3 linked regions of the Nothobranchius furzeri genome follow. The protein of the gene in region 1 interacts with the protein of each later gene in a biochemical or structural test. Links are inferred from orthologs where the notes say so. Each region holds a gene or a part of one and is shown in the gene's direction. Other genes may lie near its edges.

Region 1 (3,650 bases):
GATTACTCGTTACTGAAGAAACTTTTTTGTTTAGTAACGCCATTATTTTAAACATTTTTACTAGAAGAAATAAGCTAGCTGTGTTAGCGTCTATTCCCAAATTAAGATAATGATTTTATGACATCCAAAGAGCTTTTGTTGATGTTGTTTTCTTTCTTGACCTACAGGATGAGTTTCCATGGGAACAAAGGGTGAGCTTTGCTAAGAGCATTGCCTCTGGCATGGTGAGTTAGCTTCTTGTCTTTGCTGTAAACAAAACGTTTGTCACATTTGTGGAAATGTCTGATGAACCATTTCTAACAAACAGAATTTATATCTGTATTTATTGATGTTATTAGTCTTATTTAATGGAAGTGTGTCACTTTTACAAAATCTGTCTTCTTTTTTCTCTCTAGGCCTACCTTCATTCAATGAACATCATCCACAGGGACCTAAACTCTCACAACTGCCTGGTTAAACTGGTGGGTAGTGTTTTCTATTACAGGAACTAATAAAAGTAAAAAGGTGGAAACTATAAACAAGCTCAACATTTTAAAATAAACATTTTAAAAGACTTCTTTTGTACATTCTTGCTGTGTTTGTCTTCAAATTCCATTTTTGGTTCTTTTTTAAACACAGATAAGGTTTTTCTTTACCTTGCTGACGTTTCGTTTGTGGCTGCAAACATCTTCAGAGCTGGCGCTGATGGTGGCGTCGTTGTCGCCCTCTGCTGCCCACAGATAAACGGAGTAGGAAGTGACGCCACCATCAGCGTCAGCTCTGAAGATGTTTGCAGCCACAAACGAAACGTCAGCAGGGTAAAGAAGAACCTTATCTGTGTTTTAAAAAGAACCAAAAATGGAAAGTTAAAAGACTGATGTTTAATCTTCTGTCCTCTTTCACCAGGACAACACCGTTGTTGTTGCTGACTTTGGACTCTCTCGGCTCATCGTAGACGAGAAAGTGAAGCCTCGCCCTGAAAAACCGTCCACCAAGAAGAGAGTTTTCAGACGGATTGACCGAAAGAAGCGGTACACGGTTGTGGGAAACCCTTACTGGATGGCTCCTGAGATGCTGAATGGTGAAGAGAAAAGTGTTTTTATTTACGGGGAAGAAAACGTTTCAGAATGGGCACAAGCTTTACGATTTTTGTCATTTCAGGCAAAAGTTATGATGAAAAAGTGGACATTTTTTCCTTTGGGATCGTCCTCTGTGAGGTGAGACCTTTTCTTTGGTTCTTAGCTGTTTTTGTGTCTGGAAAACGGGTCAGATCTGGTCAGCAAAACCCTGTTGCCTCACAGATCTAGGGTGTTTTTGTAAAGTACTTGATGTATTCTTACTACTGCTTTCCTTAGTTCATCTCTGATTAATTATTATTTCATGAATCAGATCATTGGGAAGGTTTACGCTGATCCCGAATGCCTCCCCAGAACTCTGGACTTTGGTCTAAGTGTTGGAAAGTTTGTGGAGAAGTTTCTCCCAGAAGACTGTCCTCCGGGGTTCTTTCCTCTGGCCGTGGCCTGCTGCGATCTCACACCAGACAACCGGTGAGCTCCTGCTGTCATTTTAATCAGGGACAATTCACACCATATCCTCTTTTTCTTTAACTGTTATTAGAGAGTTAACTGTTCCCTTAGGTCTTGATTTAAAGTCGGTCATATTGATCACAGTAGCCACGTTTCCACTAGAGGAGTTCCCGGGACATTTCTGGGAGCAGGGAAGGTGACGGGGAAAATACGATAGCTCTATCCTGTCAGTTGTTGTCTCGTACAAAATTGTCTTTCGGGACTTTGCTTAGACATCAGCATTTCGTGATGTTCTGTCAAATCACCATGCATTGTCAGATTGGCGTTAGCGTATTACAGCGTATTCCTATCTGACAGCACCCATATGCTGACAGATCATCATACATTCTTTAAGCAGTATGACACCTTGATGGGTCAGTTTACCCATCAGATCATCATACGCTTTAAGAACAACCATATGATACCTTGATGGGTGGTTAAACCAGTCCGATAATCATACACTTTTTTAACAACCATATGACATAGTGTCTTGTCAGTTTGTTACATTTTAAAGCTTTATTTTCTAAATGTTTTTTTAATTAGAAGGTGGTGAAATAAAAATTTGTGATGCGCCTTCATCAGTTCATTTTTGTTAATAGGTAAACAAACACGATTCACTTAGTGATGCACCGATGGGAAATTTTTTGGGCCGATACCGATATCTGATATTAAGATCACACTGTTATAGCCGATATTTGCCGATATCGATATACTGACATTAATGCTTCTAAAATCAGCAGATTTTGTATGGAATTAAATGATTAAAGCTGAATTTAGGTTATGTACACACATCACACACACTTACACTTGTGAGATGATTACAATCACTGTGACATGACTTAACAAATACACATCACCACCCTCTGAAACAGGCAAACAAACGATGACAAGATGGAAAAAATATCAGTTGACAATATCTGCCCGTTTTTTTTTTTTTAATCGAACCGATACCGATATGTTAAAAATTGACTAACATCAGCCGATACCGATTTTGATGCCGATATGTTGTCCATCCCTAGATTTCCTCATAGTTTGCTGTATGTTGAACTGGCGGCTCCTCAGAACATAGCAGAGGTTTAAATGAATGCGAATGTGCATGCATTTGCATAAACTGCATGTATGCTGCTCCGTCAGAACAAGGTCAGATTAACCCCTTAAATTTCCAGGTTTAATGAATGCAATGGGGTTTTGTCCCATGGGCGGCGCGCTGGCATGCTAAGAGGTTTAAAGTTTTATTCTGTGAAACTACACCATAATTTAATCCATTTGGGGGACAGAGAGTGGTTCTGTGATGTAAAAAGTGGCGTTCAGTGAATAAAGGAAACTCTGTTTTTACGGTGCTCTGCAGTAGATAACAAAGCACCATGAACGTGTGGTGTTTCTGCTGCATTTCCTGGCTCTGGGAGTTTAAAAACAGTTCTTTTAAAGCAGTCTGAATGCTGTTTAGTTTCTTTTTCCTCCGTTCTGCTTCATCAGCAACTCTTCCATCCTTACACATGGCGGTTGTTTGGCGACGTCTGCTGATATCATCTCCTACTGAGTAACAACCAATCAGCATGAGTTAACCACTAGTCCTGCCGAGCGACTCTGCTGGGCCGTGTCTGAGTTCTAATCCCAGTTCGGGTACTCTTTTGGTCTGGAAAGTGGTCCTTTAGGAAAGAAGACACGTGCCGTGAAGGTCCAGTAAAGTTACCTGGATGTTCTTACGGTGGAAACAGGCCTAACAGTTCCCGTTATGGATGTATTTAGAAATATTTCAGCAGATCTTAGAGGTGTATCTTTTCTAGGTTTTTTTCCCTCAAACACTGAACAAGACAAAAGACTAAAACATTTCAGAAAACATAAAATCCCTGTTTTGTTTCCCTTGCTCTGTTTTATTTTTCACACAGTTGGACACATAGTTTTACTCCGTTTTATTTGTGGTGGCGTTTTGTCGGCTTCTGTTGAACCTTTGGGTCATCTTAGAGGAAACAAACACTTTCAGAAGCCACCTGAGCCTCAGACACGCCTCTGCTGCTGGATCGCTTCCTCGTGTTTCGCTCAAGCTCGCCCGTCTGGTTCTAACCTTACATCCTTTTGTTTGTTCTCTCTGATGTTTATGTGTTT
Region 2 (4,098 bases), on another chromosome or scaffold:
TATTGGAAAAAAGGCAACAAGTCCACACATAAAACTTGTAGAAAACATTTCATTAGTTTAAAAAATCATCTGAATGTGTATTAAACAAATTATAAACGTTAAAAAATTCGTTTTCTCCACATTTATATTTTTAAGACATTGTCTCCAGATCAAGTAAAAGTATACAAGGGTAGGATAGAAATAAAAATGGCAATGAATTGTTTATTTTTTTATTTATTTTATCACCTATAATTTATCACAATGTGACTTTTCTAGGCCAAATTTATTAAAAATGAAAACTATCATATAGTCTTTCTTTGTATCTTATACGTTTCATTTCCTCAGAGCTCATACTAGTTTGTTCTGCATAAGAATAAATACATTAATGTAACAAAATAATATTTTTATCGGAGTATGAGGGGCATATTTAAGCTTATTTATCAGAGACAATTACTTACATTTTTATAAGAGCATGTGTGTAATATTCATATATGTAAATAAAAAATTAGGTCAGGGTTTTAAAGAATTATGCATTGATATAATATGACAATTTCACATGTGTGGACAGCAAATACAAATGTTTAAAACTCATTCCTGAATTGTTTTGCAAAGTTGCCTCCGAATTTTTTAAACACGACTCAGCGGGGCGCATGCGCACTACGTGACATTTTCAACCAGCTCCTCCTGGGTGTTTGAACAGGAAGGCGGACATGTTGGCCAAGCCGTGCTGAGAGAAAATTGTGCACAGTATGCGATTGTTTGTCAAAAAGTAATACATATCGGACTTAATTAATTATTTATATTTACTTTAAGACGTACAACGGAGTGGACGAGACTTAGACATTGACAGTAAGTCGGACGCAACGGAAGGACCTGAAACGTTGAAGGGACTCCGTGTTTAAACTTCGAAATTTGGAAGAAGCAGAAGTTTTTTTTCCCACCACTTCTACTTTTGAGCTGTCAGACTCAGGTTTTTTCCTGCAAGGGCCTACTACTGACATGGAAACGGGCCAGGACTAGTGCTTCCTACAGACTGTTTATTTTTTTAGAAGACATGGCATTTACCTTTTAATTGCCTTTCGTTGAATGCACCAACGTTTTAAGCCTTTATCCTCAGCGGCATCCTCCGGAGGTTGTCTAATCTGTCGCCACATTTATCTTTTGACACTGAAGTTGTTTGCCACTCATACTGGAACTAACATCTTCTAGTTTCCAAAAATGCGGAACATTAACTGCGACCTCAACACCTTTGTCTGCGAAAAGTCGAGGACAACGACGTTTTTGCTTTGAAGGGAGGTGCAAAGTTCACTCGAAGAAAGGAACATTTGGCTAGCTCAAGCTAGGTAGCCGCCTCGCCGCTGAGCTGTTTTTGTTCGTAAATAACGCAACGTCCGGACTGAGTTTCACAGCAAAATGTCTTCGGTGGAAAGTATCGACAGTCGATTTGAGAAAATCGATGCCATATTGGAAGACCCTCAGTCAGAAATTAACACGGATTGTCTGCTGGTAAGTTTCTAGCTTGTTAGCTACCCAGGTAGCTAACGCTACTCGGGGTCAGTCTACTCCTTGGAACATAAATTGTTTCCGACACCAATAGTTTGCCTCTGTTGTCACTGAAGAAATGCTGACATTTACGCCCTTAGTCCGGTTTGTTCCACATACCTTATCAGGTTCAGATATTTACACACCAGCACACATTTTTAAAGTTAATGTCAAATGTGTGTTCAGACAGTAGCCTAGTCACAAACAACGGACTAAAGGACAAACATGGAAACAAACCTTAAAAATAAATCCAACTGCACAGATATTAATAGAGGTAGACTTTAGTTTACTGCTGTACTCTTGGATATGACGAGTGCAGGATTCAAGTGATACACAAGTAGAGTTGGGTTCATATTTTTCATAGTTACTAGTACTTTTTAATATATTTTTCTTCATGTATGCATCCACGTGCTTTAAATGTAATAATTTTCATCAGTGCTCATTTTAAATATTTTTTAAAGAAAAATATCAATAGGGTTATTTTTTCTGGCTATTGGGTTGCAAATATTTCTTTGTATTCTCAATGGGTTTGGATCAGCTTATTCAGTGATGATTTAGCCTCCTTATGTCTCATTGTCTCTTATTTGAATTATTTTGTTGTGGATTATTTGTATAAAATCTGGTACATACCCATTTCATTCTGTCTATGTATATTTTTAGTCATTTTAATTTTTTTTCTGTAGTATTTGACTTAGTGGTTGCTTTTTGTCTCTTTTCGGGATATGTTTAAGATTCTTTGATTCGGACCCCTGGGAGTGAGTGTTTTGTCAGTGTTTATGTTTATGTATTTGTTTATGTATTGCATTGTGTGTCTAATCAGGATCAAAGTTTGATGAAAGAATTTGTAGTCTGCACAATTATTCTCTTTATAAAAATTCTTAGTACCAATCTCTTTATAAGAGGGCTCAATAAAAGTGTAAATGCATGAAAAAACAACCCAAAGATTTGACTTTGACAGAGTGAGAGCTGTTTTGTGCTTCATTAAGACAAAGACACTTTGCACATCTATTTTAAGATTAGGGTTGTTCAAACAAGTTGCATCATCAGGTCTGGACTAATATGTCCTTGTCGCAATTTACATTTATTTATGTTATCTCTTGGTGCTGTTTGGATCATTAGTTTGGAAATAAGTATCCAAGCTTCACATGAAGTGATGAGGTTGCTTCAAGCCTGTTGTAACCTGCAGGCCTCCAGCTGCACTAAGATTCACCTTACTGCTTCCTGTCTTAATTGCTGGCAACCCTTCTGCAGGAGGATGGAAGGATGCTTTTGCCACATGCTTAACCCTCCCACTGTCTTTATGGGTGACCCCGTGAGGAAAGTTGACCATTGAACAGGATTGATGGTTTATCCCTTGAGGTCCACGTGGCAGGGGTGAGGTGGTTCTCACTACTCACCCCTGCCACATGGACCAAAGGGATAAACCATCAACCCTGCTCAATGGTCAACTTTCCTCCTCGCGGGGTCACACTCATTAGGACAGTGGGAGGGTTAACACTCTGGAAGTTCCTCTATTGATTTATATTACTTCAGTCTTGGGCACTCACTGTGGAGTGGATGCCAAGATAATGTTCATGTGTCAGAGGGTTGTTTATCACAATTATTTGAGAAATTGTTGGACTACGTGTTTTCACAAGGTTTCAGCTCGACATGACTCCCAGGGGCTGTTGTGTTTGGTGTGATTAGTTACTGGTGGGTGCTTTAAAATTAAAATAAAGGTCTTTGACTACAGGATCTTAGTTTTAGGATTCAAGCATGCTATAAATTATTGTTTAAATGCTAAAATGAAAGTTGGAGTAGTACGAATTATTTATTTCTAATAAAAAATACAATTGTAGTAATTTGTTTGAGAATGTGGTTTGTCTTAACACCACGTGCCCTGGTCGTAGTGTTTGTGTTATGAATAAGTTGCTGTAGCTAGAAGCCTTTTGAAACGGAAACACGCTTAGTTTCTGTGACCTCCCATCAAATTAGCAGAAAGAGGCTATTAAACTCCCCTAAAAGTCCACACGCTTGGCATGTTTATTAGCAGAAACCTGTGGCAACTGTTCCTACTCCCAGCCGCACACAAGGGGATTGTTTATCTTTTTTTTCTCTCCCCTTCCTGCAATCTCTCCTGATCAATGAATGGTGGCATTTTGCTCCGGCTCTTTCTGCCACCATGCTACTCCACCCACAGCTTAATAAAATTCCACGCTAATCAAGTAACTTCTTGTCTTTGACCAGCCTGGAGTTCCCTGCGTGTCCCAAAGCCCGTTCTGCATGTCTGGAGGGAGTTGAGAACAGGCAGGCAGCCCTGAGGCAGTTGGGTGTGGGCTCTGCTTTCTTGCCATAAACCAAAATTATGTGAATTGAAGAGTAAAGACTCGTGTTTCTGAGGGCTGTGAATCAGGACGTTCAACTCATAAAGTGGCCAAGTGGCTGTAATAGTTTTCATCAGAATGCACAAAGTAAGTCTTTACTTGGCTACCTTTCTCTTCCTGCCACTTGTTGTTAGAAATGTAGCTCAATTGGACTTGAAATTAGCCTTATCTGCCTGATCTGTGGTGTGAAGAACACAATTAGCCTGTACAATAC
Region 3 (4,165 bases), on another chromosome or scaffold:
TTCAGACTGCAGTGCAGAGCTGGGGAGCTCGGTTTTTCCACAGCTGATTTACTCGCTGCAGAATTATTGGATCAGGAGCAAAAAAAGTGATGCAGGGGAAAGAAAATAGAGACATCTCAGGTGACAAGGTGAGCAGGAATGGAGCTGTTCACATGATTTTCCACAATTAGGAAATTGTCTGTCACCCAGCCAAAATGTTAGTTGTCCGAATTGTCACGGTAATGTGGACACTTCATCCGTGCTCCATCTCTCTCTCTCTCTCTCTCTCTCTCTCTCTCTCTCTCTGTCTCTGTCTCTCTCTCTCTCTCTCTCTCTCTCTCTCTCTCTCTCTCTCTCTCTCTCTCTCTCTCTCCTGTGTTTATACTGTGGCAAAAGTTAAAGCTGTGCTCCATAGCATGATGTCATCAAGGAGAGGAAGAGACGGTTTTGAAATTGGAACGACTGTAGCGCCCGCCACCTTTCCCTTCTGGAAGGAGCTGAAAAGCACGCCTCATACAACATTTTGAAGGAAAAGTAATGGTTTTGGTGTGTTCCTGCTCAGATATACCTGATTCTAGCTACCAAATGACCTCCTCAGCCTTCATCAGGTTCTATAGGAACTGCTAATCACTCCCTTTAAATGAATCTGCAGAGTTCAAGTAGGTTAAGATCTAAAACCAGTAGGATACCAGCACTCGCGATGCTAGCACACTCCTGCTAACACTACAACCACCAGCTAAAACAATACACCGATGTGGTGTAAGGTTGAACGCCATGCTAATCACTTATCTCCAGTTCGCAAAAGATAAATCCCCTTTTGTCTGTGAGACCACCTACCGTTTCATGTCTCCAGTGGAAAGAGAGTTTGCGGATAAAGCGCTTCTGTTACGCATCTACTGGAAAGGCCAGATTAGGGGAAAAGGTCAGAGAGTCAGTTTGAAACATTTTTGTTTTAGTTTTGTTTAAAAATGTTAAACTACCTACCCAATCTTAGTTTCATGCTCTTGAGGTATTTTCTAAGTGTTTGCTTTGCTTTTTCAGTCTGATTGGCAGCTATTCTTACACTTTTTCCTCTCCTCTTTTGCTTTCTTGCAATTCTATCTGTTTCTGTCTGTGTCGGCCACAGATGTGTTTGCGCTCCACTAGTTGGGCGCAGGACTGCGAGAATACGAGCAGGCTCTTCCTTCCTGTTCATTCTAGCTGTAGCTCACTTCAGCAGAGAGGGCACGCAGGTCAAACCAGAACAACACAAACGGAGGGATGACAGGAGACACGATGGAAGAGAAGAAGATGCATTTTGTTAAAAAACAGGACGGTAGATAAAATGCAGATGCTGTGGACTTTCACCTGCAGAACCAACTTTAACATGGGAGCACAAGAGAGTCTGAGCCGTGCTCGCACTGAAGAGAGCCTGAGATGAATTTGTGCGAGCTGCTGCGGCGGTCGCCTTGTGATGGATGCGGGTAGGAGCGTAAAACAGCATGGACAATGCTGAGATGGAAAAGGACAAAAAAAAGTTCAAGCTGAGCCGCGTGCTGTCCCTTTACCTGTTCAGAAAGAACAAATCCCTGACTGGTAGTCCCGCTCGCTGTAACGGCTGCAGAGCCTCAGCTGCAGCAGACGGTGACATTTCACCCGAACCAAGGAACCAGTGGACGGTAAAGTGATCCCTCCTCAAGTTCACGTCTGTCTTCTTCACGTTTTCCCACTTGAGTTGTTTTCTAATTTTTTAGGTTATGTGAAGAAATATGAGATGCATTGTCACTGCAAAGTGCAAATGAGGGTGTTTTTGTTGATGTTTGTTCAGAAGCGAGGCGCAGCTGATAGGCTGGTTTCCTGTTGTCACACAGATCCAGGCTTCAGTGGTTTGTGGTTGTTTTTAAAATCTAACAAGTAACATTTTTTTAAAGATTACACAAAAACCTGAATCTAAAGTAGCTACAAAAAATAAAACCCCATCATGAGTCCCTCGTCTGGGCATCAGAAGATCCACCTTTGTTTGTTACCAGTAATACATCTATGGTTTATGAGTTGGAAGTAGGTGCTTCCTCTTCTGGTGACCATTAACTAAAATCAATGTAAAAAATTGAGTGCAGTAATCTGTTTTAAAAAAATCCAAGCTGGATCCTTTCATTGGAGTGAAAAAGTGCTTTTTCTTCTTTCACTGCTGCTTTTCAGAGTCATCATTTATATTTTCCTGCTCTGCAAACATCAAACTCAAGCGTTCTGAACTTGTTTTATCTTTTGACGGTATTTTTATGTGCTTTCAGCAGCGCAAACGTTACTCCACCCAGAGATAAACCTGCACAAGTCCTTGATCAAAGAGCAAAATCTGTGGTTTTAACAGCTCTTGACCAAAAATAACTAAACGCTAGACCCATGTTCCTTTTTAAGAGTTCTCCGGTAATTCCATTTAACTCCGTTGTCACCATTAGTTCCAGAAACTCGATAGCATTGCATCTCATTTATAAGAACATAATCTCTTACATTTGCACACCAGTTTCTCTTTTTACTGCGCTTCCTCTTTCTCTGTGCTTTTATTTTGATAAACGGTTCTATTTATGCCCAAAGACGCATCTGTTCAGAAATGTTCTATTTGCAGATCGACCATCTTAGATTACTTTTACAGCTCACGCACCTGCTTTGTGCTTTCACTCTGTAGGAAGATGGAGACATCAAGGAGATCAACATCACCCACGTGGTCAAGGAGGGCTCGGAGAAGGCAGACGCCTCGCAGTTCGAGCTGCTCAAAGTTTTGGGTCAGGGGTCTTTTGGAAAGGTAACACACCTAGGCTCGCTTTGTCCAACTTTTAAATATTTTTCTCTCGTTGTTTAATTCGGTCGCTCTCCAGAAGCATAAGGGTTGTTTTTGTTTTGCAGGTGTTCCTTGTACGGAAGGTGACCCCTCCAGATGCCAACGAGCTTTATGCCATGAAGGTCCTGAAGAAGGCCACTCTTAAAGGTACACACACTTGGAATAACCCTCCATAACTGATAAAGGTGATGAAAATTAATAATAATACTATTATTTTCTTGTGTTTTTTGGAAGGTTTCCTGTGATCTTTTTTATTTTTGTAGTGATTATTAGTCTCAGTTTCATATCTGCCAAAAAATGTCACCTGTAAGCAAAGACCACCCCAGCTTTCTGTGGGTTGTTGTCAGATGATGTGGTCTCATCTTCTCAACAAACAACAGGGCGTGCAAACTGTTCACACGGTCTCCCAGAGGGTTGTGGTTAGCTTAGGTCGTGCAAATCAAAAGTGAATGCCAACTAAGACATCTTCATCGGCTCTAATCAGTCACTTTTTGCAAAACATTTTTTTTCTCTTTCACAATATGGAAGCAAATATGTACCAAAACTCTAATTAAAATGTGCTGGCTGAAATGCTTCTTCGTGTTCACAGTAAAACTGCAAAGAAATAATCAAAATTAAGAAGCGTGTCTTATTCATTTTATTAATGAGTGTGAATGCATTTTATGTTTATTTTTATTTTTTTATTTATGTTTATTTATTTGGCAGACGCTTTTATCCAAAGCGACATACAATTCTTAACTTGTAGGGCATGTTGTGATCTGTGGGGGAAACCGGAGTACCCGGAGGAAACCCACACTTGCATGGGGAGAACACGCAACTCCACGCAGAAAGGCCACAGCCGAGTTTCGAACCTGCAACCTTCTTGCTGCGAGGCAACAGTGCTAACCACTGCACCACCATGCAGCATTTTAACTTAATTTATAGAACATATTTTCTTCCACAGATTAATTAATCCATGTAGTTTTTATTTGATTAACAGGAATAAATTTCCAGTACAAATTGTTTTTTTTTTTCACTTTACATCTGTCTTCAAATCTAGACATCTTTTAATCATTTTATTTCAAATTCCAGGAAAAAAAATATTGCTTGAGTTAATGTCACCAAGACACGATAAACATGTTTCTGCAACTTTAAAAGAAGTTATCTAAACTTTTCATAGCGTATTTCTGAGTTCTGTTGATTTTCTTAATTGGAAATGGGTTCTTTTTAAAAGAATAAAAGAAACAAACCATCTTCTCTTGTATTTTCTTTTCAAATAACACAGATGAAGAATTTATAGAAAAATGCATTGACTTTTTACTCTTGTCCTTCAGTCAGAGACCGCGTGAGGACCAAGATGGAGAGAAACATCCTTGCAGACGTCAACCACCC

What was found.
Region 2: of the proteins of limk2 (region 1) and rock1, one has a biochemical effect on the other in vitro, tested with the Homo sapiens proteins (2 studies listed by BioGRID). The link is inferred for Nothobranchius furzeri from reciprocal best matches to the Homo sapiens genes LIMK2 and ROCK1.
Region 3: the proteins of limk2 (region 1) and rps6ka1 interact in a test that uses a peptide from one of them, tested with the Homo sapiens proteins (2 studies listed by BioGRID and IntAct). The link is inferred for Nothobranchius furzeri from reciprocal best matches to the Homo sapiens genes LIMK2 and RPS6KA1.

The regions. Positions count from the first base shown.
Region 1 is NC_091757.1:45,937,451-45,941,100, forward strand, and holds part of limk2 (LIM domain kinase 2), read left to right. Parts: intron 1-167; coding exon 168-224; intron 225-395; coding exon 396-461; intron 462-885; coding exon 886-1,060; intron 1,061-1,140; coding exon 1,141-1,196; intron 1,197-1,368; coding exon 1,369-1,526; intron 1,527-3,650. UniProt on the Homo sapiens protein: Serine/threonine-protein kinase that plays an essential role in the regulation of actin filament dynamics. Acts downstream of several Rho family GTPase signal transduction pathways.
Region 2 is NC_091751.1:49,076,921-49,081,018, forward strand, and holds the start of rock1 (rho-associated protein kinase 1), read left to right. Parts: upstream 1-1,166; 5' UTR 1,167-1,392; coding exon 1,393-1,485; intron 1,486-4,098. UniProt on the Homo sapiens protein: Protein kinase which is a key regulator of the actin cytoskeleton and cell polarity.
Region 3 is NC_091758.1:28,127,803-28,131,967, reverse strand, and holds the start of rps6ka1 (ribosomal protein S6 kinase alpha-1), read left to right. Parts: upstream 1-1,299; 5' UTR 1,300-1,460; coding exon 1,461-1,637; intron 1,638-2,641; coding exon 2,642-2,758; intron 2,759-2,859; coding exon 2,860-2,941; intron 2,942-4,107; coding exon 4,108-4,165. UniProt on the Homo sapiens protein: Serine/threonine-protein kinase that acts downstream of ERK (MAPK1/ERK2 and MAPK3/ERK1) signaling and mediates mitogenic and stress-induced activation of the transcription factors CREB1, ETV1/ER81 and NR4A1/NUR77, regulates translation through RPS6 and EIF4B phosphorylation, and mediates cellular proliferation, survival, and differentiation by modulating mTOR signaling and repressing pro-apoptotic function of BAD and DAPK1.